Linked DNA regions of Cricetulus griseus. The protein of the gene in region 3 binds, or shares a complex with, the protein of the main gene of each other region. Links are inferred from orthologs where the notes say so. Each region holds a gene or a part of one and is shown on either strand. Other genes may lie near its edges.

What was found.
Region 1: Kat5 (region 3) and Anp32e share a complex: the UniProt entries of both Homo sapiens proteins name them as parts of the SWR1-like complex. The link is inferred for Cricetulus griseus from reciprocal best matches to the Homo sapiens genes KAT5 and ANP32E.
Region 2: Kat5 (region 3) and Ruvbl1 share a complex: the UniProt entries of both Homo sapiens proteins name them as parts of the SWR1-like complex. The link is inferred for Cricetulus griseus from reciprocal best matches to the Homo sapiens genes KAT5 and RUVBL1.
Region 4: Kat5 (region 3) and Ing3 share a complex: the UniProt entries of both Homo sapiens proteins name them as parts of the SWR1-like complex. The link is inferred for Cricetulus griseus from reciprocal best matches to the Homo sapiens genes KAT5 and ING3.

The regions. Positions count from the first base shown.
Region 1 is NW_023276806.1:60,586,061-60,590,015, reverse strand, and holds the start of Anp32e (acidic leucine-rich nuclear phosphoprotein 32 family member E), read left to right. Parts: upstream 1-1,155; 5' UTR 1,156-1,479; coding exon 1,480-1,533; intron 1,534-3,682; exon of another isoform or gene 3,683-3,702; intron 3,703-3,955. UniProt on the Homo sapiens protein: Histone chaperone that specifically mediates the genome-wide removal of histone H2A.Z/H2AZ1 from the nucleosome: removes H2A.Z/H2AZ1 from its normal sites of deposition, especially from enhancer and insulator regions.
Region 2 is NC_048601.1:54,830,684-54,834,817, forward strand, and holds the start of Ruvbl1 (ruvB-like 1), read right to left. Parts: upstream 2,801-4,134; coding exon 2,660-2,800; intron 748-2,659; coding exon 661-747; intron 1-660. UniProt on the Homo sapiens protein: Possesses single-stranded DNA-stimulated ATPase and ATP-dependent DNA helicase (3' to 5') activity; hexamerization is thought to be critical for ATP hydrolysis and adjacent subunits in the ring-like structure contribute to the ATPase activity.
Region 3 is NC_048596.1:53,750,940-53,753,702, reverse strand, and holds part of Kat5 (histone acetyltransferase KAT5), read right to left. Parts: intron 2,352-2,763; exon of another isoform or gene 2,173-2,351; coding exon of another isoform or gene 2,131-2,172; intron 592-2,130; coding exon 451-591; intron 374-450; coding exon 280-373; intron 1-279. Other genes in the region: Rnaseh2c (ribonuclease H2 subunit C), read left to right, coding at 2,131-2,172. UniProt on the Homo sapiens protein: Catalytic subunit of the NuA4 histone acetyltransferase complex, a multiprotein complex involved in transcriptional activation of select genes principally by acetylation of nucleosomal histones H2A and H4.
Region 4 is NW_023276806.1:205,262,019-205,265,991, reverse strand, and holds the start of Ing3 (inhibitor of growth protein 3), read left to right. Parts: upstream 1-1,173; 5' UTR 1,174-1,306; coding exon 1,307-1,334; intron 1,335-1,565; coding exon 1,566-1,637; intron 1,638-3,973. UniProt on the Homo sapiens protein: Component of the NuA4 histone acetyltransferase (HAT) complex which is involved in transcriptional activation of select genes principally by acetylation of nucleosomal histones H4 and H2A.

The DNA.
Region 1 (3,955 bases), on a different chromosome or scaffold from region 3:
AACGCCCGGCTCAGTACTCATTTCTTACTTAGGTTTTCAGTTTTTGTTTTGAGATAGAGGCTGGCCTAGAACTCACTTTGTATACCAGGCAGTTCTGCCTGCCTCTCCCTTCGGAGGTCTGTGACCATTATGCTTCGTGTGTACCATTATGCTTCGAATTACAGAAACATTAAGTAGACTTTCTTTTTAAAATGTATTTGAGTGTTTTGCTTTAATGTATGCACACGCACATCTGGCCCTGGAGCCTGTGAAGGTCAAAAGAGGCTATTGAATTCCCTGGAACTGTAGTTATGGATGATTGGGAGCCCTCATGTGGGTACAGAACCAGGGTCCTCTGCAAGAGGACATCGTCTCTTCAGTGCCTCACATACACTTTAAAAGAACACTTTAAGTAGATTTCTGCAGGAAACTTACCAAAGGGAAATGGGAAATTGGAAATTGTGTTTTCTTTAGGCCCGTGCTGCTTTTCCTCCAAGGTCCCAACTATTTGCCAGCGACAAATGACCTCAGTATCAACTCCCACAGGACAGTTTTATTTAAAGGTTTCTGACTCAACGTGCTAAACTCAACTGCTTCCAGAGTCGTTTCGCCTTTGACAGTGGAAGTTAAAATACCTTCTTTATCACGCTCTGGTGAACGCCAGGGCCGTTCGAGACGGGGAGGTGTCCCGAACTCGCTGCTCTTGCGTTGAGTCCCTGGCTCACTGGGTAAGCCGCATAGCAGGGAGCTTGTGCTTTAAGACTACCGAAAGCTCTGGAGTGCGGTGCGCTGGATGACCGACCCGCTTACACCCTGGGGACGCCAGCGACGCCCTTTCCCTTCCTCTAACCCCGAAGCCAGAAAGCCCTCAAACAAACAAAAACAAATTCAATAGACAGCCAAACCGTCCCACTAGCGAGGGAAAGCGCGCCAATCACACAAAGAAAAGGAGGGGGGCGACTGGGATTCAAAATCGTTTCTCCGGGACGTACATCCTCCCGGACCTATCGGAATTAACTGCGCGCTTGCTCAGAGCCAATAGACCCCGAGTTTCTGGTCCGGGGCCCCCCTAACGACGGATGGGCAGTCCTCTAAGCCAATGGAGTGGCGCGACGCTAAAGGCTCGGCCAATGCAGTCGGGAGGTGGGTGGAGCGTAGGCCAGGGGGTTGGCGGTGCCGTGTCATGGAGGCTCAGTCTCGCAGCAGCCATTGAAGGGGAAGGAACTGCGGGCGGGCGCGCGCGTGTCTCTCTCTCTCTCTCTCTGTGTGAATGTGTGTGCGTGCCCGTGTGTGCGCGCGCGGGTGTGTGGACTAGAAGGTGGGGGCAGCCGAGTTAGTCCCAAGTCGTCGGACTCCATTTGCTATTCTTTTCTTTCTCCCCCACACCCGGGTGGTAGTGGGCGTTCGTCTTTGCGTCTCTTTTCATTCATCTCCAGACCTTTAGGGGTGTTTTAGGGTTGGGGGCAGTGGGGAGGGCAGGCGAGGGGAAAGGAGGAGGACATGGAGATGAAGAAGAAGATTAACCTGGAGTTGAAGAACAGAGCCCCGGAGGAGGTGAGATGACTCAGCCCCCACCTTCCCCTCCCGCCCTGTGTCGCGAGGGGTGGGCTTCGGTGGTCCCGGTGGGTGCGCGGGGCGGACTGGGAAACGCGCCCCCACTCGCGGTGGGGGCGGGGTGTTTATTTTAAGTTTTAAATCGCCAGGCTTCTTGTGCTTAAAATGGCGAAGGGCTTAAGTTTCTAGGGGCATTTTCCCGGGCGCGCGGGGGCTCAGCCCCTCGGCGTCCCCGCAGTCTGGCGGCCCGGCCTCGCGGGGGCGGGCGGCGTGGGCGCGACCCCCGGGCCTTCGCCACCTGCGAAGTTGGTGTAACTTTCCCGCGGTGCCGCCATTCGGCCGGCCGCGGCCCGGGGCGTGGGTCTCGGGCCGATCTGCACCCTGCGCTCCCTCCGGCGGTGCCCACTCGCGGGCGGCGCGCGCCGGGCCGGCGCCGGCGCCGGGCCCGGGCGGCGGCGGAATCCCGGGACCCGACGGCGCCGGCCGCGATCCTCGTGGCGCGCGGACCTCTCTACGCAAGCCCGTGGCTCGTGCGAGCCGCGCAGTGCCGTGTGCGGTCGTCGGGAAGACTCGCGGGCTGGGAGGGGCCCCCGGAGGCGTCGCCTTCGAGCCCCCCGCCGTCGGGTTCCCTTGCGGTTCCCGCCAGGTTCCTGGGTCGGAAGCTTGGGCCGCGGCGGGCGGTGACGGCGCCTGGGGCTCGCCGGTTCGCGGCTGCTTGAAGACGAGGGACAAGGGACCGGCGCTACGGTGGTCCCTTGACGCCCTAGCAAAGGCGCCGGTCTGCCCGGCCTTCGCAGTCACCGTGCAGAGCTACCCGTGCCTGAGCCCTGTTCTTTTCTGTGGCGGGTTTGCGGGTTTCTGCCGACTTCAGCCGAGAGCGAGGTGGAGGAAACATTGTTTCTGTAAGGGTTATTATCGCTGGGAGAACTAGAAGTTTTCTAGAGCTTTTTAGAAGATTCTGGAATAACTCAAAGTTAAAAAGCTGTCCATCAGCAGGGCATGGTGACTGATACCTGTAATTCCCAGCCTTTGGAGGCCGAGGTAGGAGGATGGCTGCAGGTGGGACTCTGTCGAGCAGGGCAAAACAAATCAAAACAAGCAGTTTCTCATAAGCCTTAGGTGCAAATGTGGGCCTCTTCCCGCATCCTTTCGCCTCCAATTTGGAGAATTGCGGGACATTGCCATGGTGTAGTAACAGGTTTATATAGACAGTTTATTTTTATTTATGTTTTTGGCTTTTTAAGACGGGGTTTCTCTGTAGCTCTGGCTGTCCTGGAACTCCCTTTGTAGACCAGGCTGACCTTGAACTCGGAGATCCACCTGCCTCTGCATCCCAAGTGGGCCACCACTGCCCGCTATATGGGCGGATTATAAAGTGCCCAGTTTACTTTCTCCTTGGAAAACTTGTAAACTGGGTTGTATTGTTTTAGAATCCAAATTTGCAAACAGGAGTCCCAAGACAGTGTAGTGGCGTATTCTGGCGGAAGAACTGGGTTTCTGACACTGGATGTACAAGGCCTCTTGCTGAGCTCTCTTAGCCCTGGATAAGACTGGAATCCAAAGGCTTAAGAGGTGCCTGGCGTGATAGTGCACGCCTTTAGTTCAGTTCTATAATCCTGACACTCCGGAGGCAGAGGCAGATGGGTCTCTGAGTTTGAGGCCTATCTGATCTACAAAGCAAGTTTCTGGTCAGCCAGGACTAAATAATGAAATGCTATCTCAAAAACAAATGAACCGGAGGGTGGTTTCACACACCTTTGGTTGCAGCATTCACTTTTAATCCCAGGGTTTGCAGGCACAGATATCTGAGTTCGAGGCCAGGCTGATCTACAGAGTGAGTTCCTGGACAGCTAGGGCTACACAGAAAAACCAAAACAAAAAACAAACAACGCAAAATAAAAAAAAAAAAAAAAGGCTTAAGAATCAAGACACCCCACCATACTGAGGGTGTGACCTATTAATGCAAGTCATTTTTTTTCTAGACCTTGGCTTCCTGGTCTCTAAAAGGGATGTTATGGTTCCATTTCTGCTCATTGGAATAATGATTGCCAAAGTTACACCCAAGTAGAGAAGATGGCATTTGTTGTTCCTGATTTTTAGCCTTTAAATAAACATTTTTGTACTGGGGACAGAGAACCAGGATCTGATTAGGTCTATTCAGGTGCACTGGTAAGTTTGTTACTACATCTGGGATCTGGGGTTGGAGTGATGCTCAGTAGTCAAGAGCACTTGTTCACATGGTAGCTTCCAACTGCTACCATTCCTTCTTCCACCTCGGAAGGCACCAGGTATGCATAGAGGTATCCATATGTAGGAAAAACACCTGTACACATAAAATAAAAATAAGCCTACAACTCAGATCTAATAAGAAACCCAGTTCTGAGCTGGAAAGATGGCTCAGGAATTAAGAGTACTGGCTGGT
Region 2 (4,134 bases), on a different chromosome or scaffold from region 3:
CTAAGGCTCAGACTAGGAACTCTGGCAACTTTCAAGTACCCACCAGTCAGGCATGGTGAAGCTCACCTTTAGTCCTGGCACTTGAGGTAAAGGCAGGAGGATTAGCAGTTCAAGGCCAGTCTGAGCTACATAGTGAGTTTGAGGCCAAGCTGGGAAACATGAAATACCCTGTCTTGCCCCACAAGCATGACAACCTGAATTTGATTCCCACACCCCACAACAGAGAGAACCAACTCCTGAAAGATGTCCTCTGGCCTCTACACATGCCCTCTGTAACATATGCACATTCAAATACACAACAGGTATAAGCATCCTCAAAACAGATGTCACTCTGGAGATTCTTATGACACTCAAATCAACAGAAAGGTATTCCCTAACAAAGCAAAGGAGACTTGAAAGAGATAAAAGGAACATTCTAGAGACAATGAGACCCTCTGAGGATTTCACTCTCTGCTGGAGGTAGTCCAGGGTAATTTTAATTTAAGAACACAAATTTTATATGCTAAATTGTATTCCTGCACATTGGTTTCTTTTTTTTAAAAACATTCATATAACCAGTCGAGCTAGACAGACACTAGTTAAGACATGAATTCAATTAGGCTCAAACATCAATACCATTCTCTTGGGTAGCTTAAAAAAAGAGAGACAATGAATGAGTACCTTGCCAGTTCCAGGAGGCCCTGCCAACAAGACAGCTCTTCCAGCCATTTTCTTGCTTTTGATTAATTCTACTATGACTCCACATGCCTGCACACAATGGAAAGAAACAAGCAGTCAATATTAAAATGCCTCATGGTGGAAACAATTCAGTGCTTGGTCCACACAGTTCACATACTCTTCCAACACTGAGTGTCAGCAGCTGCCACAACGCTGTGATGGAGTGGAGCAGTGGAGGTGAGGCAGCAAGGCCGTGTGCTCCAGCTCAGGCTCAAGGCACAAGATGGCTGCTAAGGAGGAAAAAGGGTGTTGAGATAGTGAGTGGCTATGGGGAGCTGGAAGGTCTTTCTCATAACACTGTTGGTAATATTCAAAGCCCTAGGCAGAAATCTACATCCCAGGCAAAAACTGAAAACTCAAAATATCCAAAGCAGAAACTTGGTATGTCTAAGGGACAACATGCCGTAGCGCTAAAGCATGGTGAAGAGAATGGAGAATGGAAGTTGAGGCAGCAAGACCAACACAGACCTGGAACTTAAAGTTCAAAGGCAGCAGGGATGTGAATTTCAGGCCAGTCTGGCTACAGCAACATTATCTAAACAAAAAAGGTATGCTATGAATCCATCCAATAAAAGAACTGGAAAGGGCTGGTGAGGTGGCTCAGTGGGTAAAAAGCACTTGCAGTGCAAACCTGAAGAGTTAAGTTCAATTCCTGGAGCCCACCGTGGGAGGAGAGAATCTCTGACCTTCCCTGAAGCACTATAGCGGTCACATGACCAAAATGCATTTGCAGGTGCACTTGAGCGCTGGCACACACGCACAAATTAACAAATGAAACTTAAATACCAGCTAACATTAAAAGAATAGAAAGGGTTTTCAGAAGATCACCTAGTCTTACTTTTTAGCACCAGGGAGGCTGCTGTTGTGATCAGTCATGCAAGAATCCAATGCAGAGGCACACTTGAAAGTCACATACACTCCAGTTTATATGCTGGCTCTTTCACTTGCCAGTTGAGTTCCCTCAGACTTATTTTACCTACAACCTCTGTGAATCATGGTTACTTACCTGAATGCAAGTGTTCAAAATAACTTTTGGACATGGAAGAAAGGGCTTAGGGATAAAGTGTGCTGCCATATGCAGTCTGTCTGAAATGTGATGGCAGATTGATGCTGTAAGATGCTAACTGTAGAATCCAGGCACACTAGTATTTACAGTGCAAACATTTCAGTTTTTGTATGTCTAGAAAGCATCACACCAAAGTGAGGGTTATTGCACAGAAAGGACATAACAAACAATGGCCTCAAAGCTGCCTGGCAAATAGAAAGCATTTAACTACCATTACCTGCTTGCAAGAGAAGGTGCAAGTACCTAGGGTCAAATGTTTCCCCTTTGGATAGATGGCACTCCAAGCAGAAACCAGAGTCTTTTCCCTGGCACCTTCTGTTTGCAAGAGGCTGAGACAGAAGTCTTCACCAAATGTAAAGATCAAGTTTTTGTAGTTACTGAGCCTCTGTAGAAACCAGAGTGGAAGGGGCTGAGGAAATGGGAAGAATACTGATTAGGGGTGGGTGTGGGGGAAAGTATCAGCTTTATTACTGCTGAACTGACAGGTGGAAAGGTGCCCTGACCTCTTCCAACTTTGATTTTTTTTCGTGTGCAAAACAGAAAAGATCAAATCACCTGGCATGACTGCCGATGATTTTAAGTAGACTGAAGTGGAATAGCTAAAATAGTGCTTGGATGGGGGATGGGCCAGACTGACTGTTCCTCCCATCACTCTACTTCCCAGGTCAGCTCCCAGGCCCCCCAAAACCGCATCAACTCTGAGAACTTGGTCAATTCTATGACTAACCTCACAGCCTTCCACTGCTATTCCAGTGAGACCTAACTTGCGTGCCCTGGCACGCGAAGGATGCAATCTTTGCTCGTTAATGTGATCCCCGCTTCTCCTACAGATCTCGGTGGGTCCGGGTCCGCCCCGCGCACACGCCCCACGCCCACCTCTCTCGCGTTCTCCTGGCCCACGAGCCCTGAAGCCGCTTGCTTGGCCAGGCCGCTCTCGTCCAGCCCCAGCCCCTTCACGTGGCTGTGGGAAGCGATGCGCTGCGTCTTCGTGGTGCTCTTCACCTCCTCAATCTTCATTTTGACGAGCGTTTGGAGACACAACCGGCGTGGAAAGGTAGGAACTGCGGCACGCCGGGCACCCGGGTTACCACGCGGCCGTTACTAGGCCGCTCTCTGGGACCCGCCCTTATTAGCGCGCCATTGGTGGAAGCGAGAAGACTTCGGTTTCTATTGGCTACAAGCTACGCCCGTCGGTAGCTGCGGGTGAGTTCCGCCCACCAACTTCCGTTTGTGTTACAGGTTGGATTTCCCCAGGGCAGGCGTTTCCTCCCCTGGCTATCGTTGATGGGCAACAGCTAAATACTTTAAAGCATTATCAATGTTAGTGGCAGTCTTTGTTTTTTATAAACGCCTCTTTTAATATCTTTTTTTCCTTAGATTAAGATATCTGTGCCAGGGTGAGTTGACTCTTTCACTGACAATTTTAAGACCTTTCCCAGGTATCTGGTTGCCCTGAGAGAATTTTCAGCAAAACAGCCGCCCAAACTTCCCCCATGATGTCCCGAGGAAGCTGCTCAGCCAACCACTTTTCCTTTTTGCCGGAATACAATGGATCCAGGATGCACTATTCCAACCAGGACAGTTTCAAAGAATTTATGCCATAATTTTGGTCATCACATATCTAATGAACTCTTTTAAAGATGGTTTTATGTAACCTTGGTTGGCCTAGAACTCAGAGACCCACCTGCCTATGCCTCTGAGTGCGAGGATTAAAGGTATCACCACCATACTCTCATCAGCCATTTTCACCAGACTTGAGTAGGTACAGTTCTCCAGGTAGCCCAGAAAAACAAAAACAAAAAAACAGCCTGTGATTGGTAAAAACATGGTCCTTCCTTGAATCAGCAACTGTTATTGGTGCAAATATGGTAGTTCGGTTTCATGAGCCACTGTGCCACAGCATAAATGGAATTTTTATTTGCATGAAGGGCTGTCCTAAGGGCAACAAACGCTCTTGTTTACCTTCCCCTACAGCATTCTGGTTAATGAAGCAGGTGTGCCTCACTTTTCAAACAGCTGGGAGACACCTTCCTGTGGTGCAGTGTGCAATATATTGCAAAATTAGGCCCACTATAAGACTTCTCTTGAGAAGACTTTCACCTCTAGTAATAGTGAAGGGACCAGCTCCCCATTTTGGCAGTCATAACAGCTGAACACATGCTCCCCATGACCTTGCCTTGGTCACTAAGAGGTCAGATGCCTGCCTTGTGGCAAGGAACCAATCAGAAATTAGCTGGTGGTGCTATGCTTTAGGGCTCTGGGTGTGCTCTACGGACAAGTGCACAGCAATGACGTACAGAGCGTAGCAACCACCCTGGGAGGGCCTATGGTCCATAACAACTGGTTGACCA
Region 3 (2,763 bases):
GATGAACATGAGAAGCTGAGCTGCCCAGAGCTCCACACAGGAACAGATGATTCCAAATTGGGAAAAGCTGGGTGACACTTAAACCTTTAGCCAAAAAGAAGTGGGTGCCGAGAGCCTACTTGAGGAAATAGGCAGTTGCTTGAGGAAAGGGCCTTGGGAGAGTGATCTCTTTATTCCTGGTAACTGGCATGTCTGCATGTGAAGCACAGATGACAGTACACTCACACAGGCTTGGCCCTGTCAGCCTCCCAGACTTCTGGTAAGGCAGCACATACTCACTGAACTCAATCAGCAGCTTGCCATAGCCTCTGCGCTGATAGGGAGGCAGAGTCAGGATGCAGGCCACATTGTAATCTTCAGTAGATTCCTTTTCCTGGAATCAGAGTAGGTGAGTTTTAACTTAGACTTGACTCAGGGCAGGGCCGAGGGACAGCCTGGGTGAATGCTGACCTTGGAGAAGTAGCCCACAATGTGGAAGCCCTTGCAGTCATACTCTGTCATCACATAGAAGAGGAAGGGGTCTGTGTCATAGTACAATGTCTTGTGGTCGAGGAAGCACTTGGCCAGCAGACACAGGTTTTGTGAGTAACTCTGTAAAGAAAAAAGCCTGTCAGTCACTACTCTGGGGGCACTACTATAAAGAGTTACACTTTATGCTGACATATGTGATTGCAGGCATGTATGTACTACACACACATGCATTCTCTCCTTCCACTATGGTTCCACAGAGTGAACTCAGGTGCCCAGGCTTGTGTGACAGGGCTTCTACCCACTGAGCCATCTCAAGGGCTCTGAGGAGCACTTGTTTTTGCTACTTCACTTGACAGATCGGCTTCCCTCCTAGGACCCTAACCCCACCAGTTAGGCCATCACCACTGGTTAGGTAGGGGTTAGGTAGAAAAACCCTTTACTGAGACAGGGTTTCTCTGTGTAGTCCTGGCTGTGTGGAACTTGCTCTGTAGACCAGGCTGGCCTCAAATTCAGAGATTAGCTTACCTCTACCTCTGCCTCCCAAGTTCTAGGATTAAAGGTGTGCACCACGACTGCTCGACTAAGGGCTACTTCTTAAGCGTCCAGGAGCATGTGTACTAGTGTCTAAGTGCCTGCTCCCATGGTGAGCTGCACAGCTTCCCATATACCCAGCAAAGCCTGCTCTGGACCTGTACTGTCCTCTGTTCTGCTTTAACAATAGCCAAGAACATTTCCAAGCCAGGCATGGTAGTGTCTGCTTATAATCTCAGCACTTAGAGGAGGCAGAGGCAGGCTATAAGTTTGAGGTCAGTAGGCTAGGGCTACATAATGAGAACTTTTTATTTTTCAAGACAGGGTTTCTCTGTGTAGCCCTGGATGTCCTAGAGCTCACTGTGTATACCAGGCTGGCCTCAAACATGCAGCGATCTGTCTGCCTCTGCCTCCCGAGTGCTGGGATTAAAGGCTAAAGGTGTGTGCCCCTCTGCCATTTTTAAAAAAGTTTCCCTGTCGAGTTAACTTCAAATTCAGTCTCAGGACAGAAGTTCTGCTCATGTGGCTATCCTTGGGTGCCAAAACCCCAATGCTCTAGCCACAGTGATTTTGCCTCTTGGGAACTGGTCTGCTATTCTCCAGTGATGGTTTAAGAAAATGCCAGCCTTAGTGGTTCTTCCTGCAAAACTTTGGACTTAATATAGAGCAGTGTTGCTGAGCAGTGGTGGTAAACACTTTTAATCCCAGCACTTGGGAGGCAAAGGCTGGATCTCTGGAGTTTGAGGACAGCCTGAACTACATAAGACAGCCAGGGATACACAGGGGAACCTTGTCTCGGGGAAAAATAATACAGAGAAGTGTGTAACTTTGTCTTTCTCTTGAGCTCCTGCCGCCCCCAATCAGGGTACCTGCCTTCTCCCCACATCCTGGAGGCCCAAGAGATGTGTGTATCTCAAGGAGCTCTATGCTTCTCATCTCTAAGACCCAAACATGCTTCTCCAGTGATCTTGTTCCTGCCACCTGACCTCTGACCTTCAAAAGTCTTGCTTCATCCCCTCTCACCTTCCTTTTACTTTTCACACATACTGTCCTGGTACCTCAGTACCCTGCATCACTGAACCCAACTGCTTAGAATTGCCTTAAACATGTTTTCTCCTTCATGTCCAGGCTCACAGGTCAACCTGGAAACTTTCTCAAAATAGGATTTGACTGTCTACCCCTGGCTGGCGAAGAACTCCCTACAGACTAGTAGAGATCACCTGCCTCTGCTTCCTAAGTGCTGGAATTAAAGCATTTGCCACCATACCCATCCAAGATCCTTTCTGTTTGTTTTTGACAAAGGGTCTTACAATTTTGAATTTTGAATACACCAGCTTCAGCCTCCTGGATACTGGGATTACCACCCTGGGCTAAACTGTTTTTTAAACTGTCTTTAATTTTACATTTGATCTTTGCCACCATAAAGTTTTTGTTCTTTGCTTTGTTTTGGATTCCTCTAAAGAAGGTCTTTCTCAATTTATAGCTTAGGTTGGCATAGAACTCCTTATAGCCCAGGCTAACCTTGAACTCAGGAGCTTTCTGAATGCTAAGATAACAGGCATACACTACCTAAAAGTTGTGATGATAGTTTCCTTTGAACTCTGCTAACTTATCCTTCTTTTCACGACACTTCTCACACTGGGATCTGAATAGCTGTGGTATGTCTGCTTCTGCCACGGAAAATGGCCTCTTAAGAGAATAGAGTTTGTCTAAATCCTAGTATTCTGTGCATTCCCGCAGGTTGAACCAGAGTGGTCAATT
Region 4 (3,973 bases), on a different chromosome or scaffold from region 3:
TCAGAGTAGTGAATAAATCTTAAAAATGTCACACTGGTTTTTATAAAATTTTGTTTTTTTTTTTTAATTTTTCTTTGGTGTGAAATAGGGTCTCCCACCGTCTAGGCTAGCCTCCAACTACCCGTGTTGCCAAAGCTCCCCTCGAACTGTTGACTCTCCTGTCTCAACTCCCCCAGTTTCGGAATTACAGGTAAGTAATAGATAGTGTAAGAAGGGATCATTTCCTCAAAACACAAAGCATGTATTTAGTGCACGAATTTTTATGAAAGGGATTTTAAGACAGAAACAGAGCGGTGATACACTCGTTATACTACTAGTGAACACTTGTTAGGGGTAGAAAAAGACGCAGTCCAGGACTTACAAACCTTAACCCGGATATTTACCCAACGTAAATTTGAATCATTGCTGGTATATCCCAGAATTGGATTAAATCTCCATAATTTATGGTTGGCCGTTATTTATTTATTTATTTATTTATTTATTTATTTGCAGGTGCATTAGAATATTACAACGAATTCGAGACACGCAGCAAAACATACTGGCTATTGCAGACAATTTTTGGGCATTTTTCAATTTGGGAAATGCTCATTCGATCCAGTCTTGGTATAAATATCTTAAAGTTACAGGATCAACAACAGTCAGCTGTCCCGTTTATATCTCAGGAGTGGATAACGAAGATAAATTCCAGCAGGGAGTTGTGTTCTAAACAATTCGAGTTTTCCGAACTTGGCCGATTATTCTAGCGTTTGGAACCTTTGCTATTTGCCTAGCACGGTTAGAAATCCATGACTCACAAACGGCGGGCTTGGAATCACAGCACAGAACAGGTGAAAAGTTGTTCCTAGTTCTGTCAGGCAGGCGCCTACAATTCCCGTCATTCCCCTTGCAAGAAACCCACAAATAAACAGAGGCACCGCATTTCGGATTCTGGCGTACCCGTTTCGCACAGCCGTGTGGTTTCTGTAGTTGCGACGCCTGGAGCTGCCCGCATGGATGGCCCCCCGCTCGGGAAAAAAAGACTACATTTCCCAGAACACCACGGGGATCCGCACCGGCCTGCTGACGTCAGCGCTCCAGGCAGCCAATAGTAACGCCGGGCGGCAGTGAGGCAGGCGCCGTCAGGCGCCAAAGTGGAGCCTTTTTTTTTTTTTTTTTTTTTTCCGTTTTTTTTTTTTTTTTCCCTTTGCCGGAGTCGAGCGGGTGCTGCTAGCGGAGGCGCCATATTGGAAGGGACAAAACTCCGGCGACAAGGAGTGACACAAATAAACCCCTGGACCCGTTCGTCCCCGCAGCAGTCAGGGCCGCGATGTTGTACCTAGAGGACTATTTGGAAAGTGAGTGCGCGGCGCCGGCGACGCGGCTGGCGGGATCGGCGGCGGGCGGGAGCGCGAGTGGCCGGGCGGGCGGGATGGCGGGAGGGAGGGGGAGCGGGGGATGTTTCTTTCTCACGGTAACTGGCAGCCTCGTTGTGAGCCGCCCCCCCCACGCACGCACGCACGCACGCGTGACGCCAGCGCGTAGCTTCGCCGTTGGCCCCGCCCTCTGACGGACTGTGCCTTTGACAGTGATTGAGCAGCTGCCGATGGACCTTCGGGACCGCTTCACGGAGATGCGCGAGATGGACCTGCAGGTGCAGAGTAAGTGGCGCGTCCCCGGGGCGGGCGGGCGGGCTTCTCCGCGCCGCTTTCCTCGGGCTGCCGCCTCCACAGGAGGAGGCTGGCCGGCACAGCACCCCGCTGACACGCGGGGGCCGGTGTTTGTGTGTGTGTGTGTGTGTGTGTGTGTGTGTGTGTGCGTGCGTGCGTGTGTGTGTGTGTGTGTGTGTGTGTGTGTGTGACACGGCACGGCGATGACGACATCGCACCGCGGGGGAAACTCGTGGTTCCCACAAGGTTTGCTCCTGAGCCTGCAAACTCCGAGTTCTGCATTCAGACTTAGGAAAAAGAGAGAAAGAAAAAGTTCATCCTATTCCCCGATCTCTCAAGAGTAAAACGCTTAGGATCGCAGATTGCGCGCGGCTCCCCCGGGGACCCGAGTGGGCTCGGCAGGCCGAACTTTGACAAGTTGCCTATTGCCAGAGACGCCGACAGCCGTCAACTACGAACAGGGTTATTCTCTCAGCCACAACGAGCCAGAGAAATAGTCATGATTGGAAACATGATGGACCTGCCCTTGATTGAAACGTTTGGACCTTGGGTCGGCTTTTCTACCCGTTTCTTCTTGTTTTGTAAACACAGCTCGGGGCGGTCTCACACTCACTGTGCATCAGAGTCTGGCCCTAGTCTCCTGCTCTACCTGCTTCTGCCTGCCTAGTGCTGGGATTTACAGGCATTACCCACCCACCGTACTGGCTCAGCTTTGATTTTTTTTTTTTTTTTCCTGTCCATCAGTGCTTGGTAGTTTTTTGTATTGTACTTATTTCCAAATTAACCTTGCTATTTTGAAAAGCCATATTGGAGGTGGCTCAAAGGCAGCCTTCGTTTGCTAGGAGTTGTTCTTTTCATTGTCAGTCCCTCACCACCACCACCCCCAACGACCCCCCACCACACACACACACACACTTATGTAACTTTTCTTCCGGAATGTACTTTGTACTTTCTCATCTAAGTCTCTGGGTCGTCTCTTTTGGGGGCCCATAGCCCCGTAGTCCGTCATAAGCATGTGACAGGTGTATGTGTGATTCTTTCCTTTTTGACTCAGTACAGTTGCAGTAGTAAACATTTAGCAAAGCACATTCCAAAGGGATTGATCAGAGCTTGATAGCAGATAGATTTGGATTCACTTTAGGGCCTCTCCAGTTTCTTATCCACCTTGGCTCTTTGCTGCCTTGGGACTTTTTTTGTTTTTGTTTTTTGTTTTGTAAAAGACAATCTGCTGATTTAAAATAATACATATAATTAGGATGTATAATACCTGTTACAAATAGGTATAGAATAAGGGATTATTTCAAACATTTTGTAATAGTTCAATTTTTTAAAATTCTATGATAGTTTGGATTTAGTCTATACATATTATAGGGTTTTTCAAGTTTAGTTTTTCTTATAAACTTGGTGTTTTCTGAAGTTAAAAGTGATTATGCATTAGGCAGGCGGTGGTACACACCTTTCATCCCAACACTCAGGAGGCAGAGGCAGTTGAAGAGTTCAGACCAGCCTGGTCTACATGAGCTAGTTCCCAGACAGGCTCCAAAACTACACTGGAAAATCCTGTCTTGAAAAACAAAACAAACAAGCAAAAAGTGATAATGTATTAACAAAAGTAGCAGCATGTCTATATTGGCAAATGAACTGAAAGTAAGATTTTTTTCTTAAGAAAATTAAGAGTAACTAGAATGTCTCAGAATCGTTTTTTTTTTTATATAAAGGTATTATGCACTGAAGAACTTTAAATGATGAATATAGTGAGGAAGTTTTTCTCCATTTCCATAACAGAAAAAATCCCTTTTATTTATTTGTCTTTTTTAGCAGTCATCCACTAAGGTCATTATTTTTGCATGGGCTTTGGAAAGCCCTTGCACAGAATAAATAGCTTCTGTATTGAGTGATTAAATGGCATCTTATGTAAACAAATGATCACACATTTCATACCTTCATATAACATGGTGGGGTGCTTGGTCTGTAATGCAAATGTTGAATATATTATCACTATTTTTATTAAAAGAAGTGTGGACACTCTCCAGTAGTACTCTCAGTAAGCAACTATGGTTGCCATAACCAGCTGACTTAATGCCATTAGCTGATTCAGTGCTGTGCTGCTCCAGGGCTGTGGCATACATCCTTGTCTGTGGGTTGACTCTACCTTGATTGTTGGAAGATGTTTTGAAATAGCAAAAGTCAGTACAGCTTTTTAAAACTAAGGTAATTAAGGCATTACTGCTTGTAGAATTGAAGCAGAGTGTGTATAAGCCACTAGCAAACTGAAACAGTACATGTTGTCAGACTTCTTTTATTTCCTCAAATCAAAGCGTTTGGTC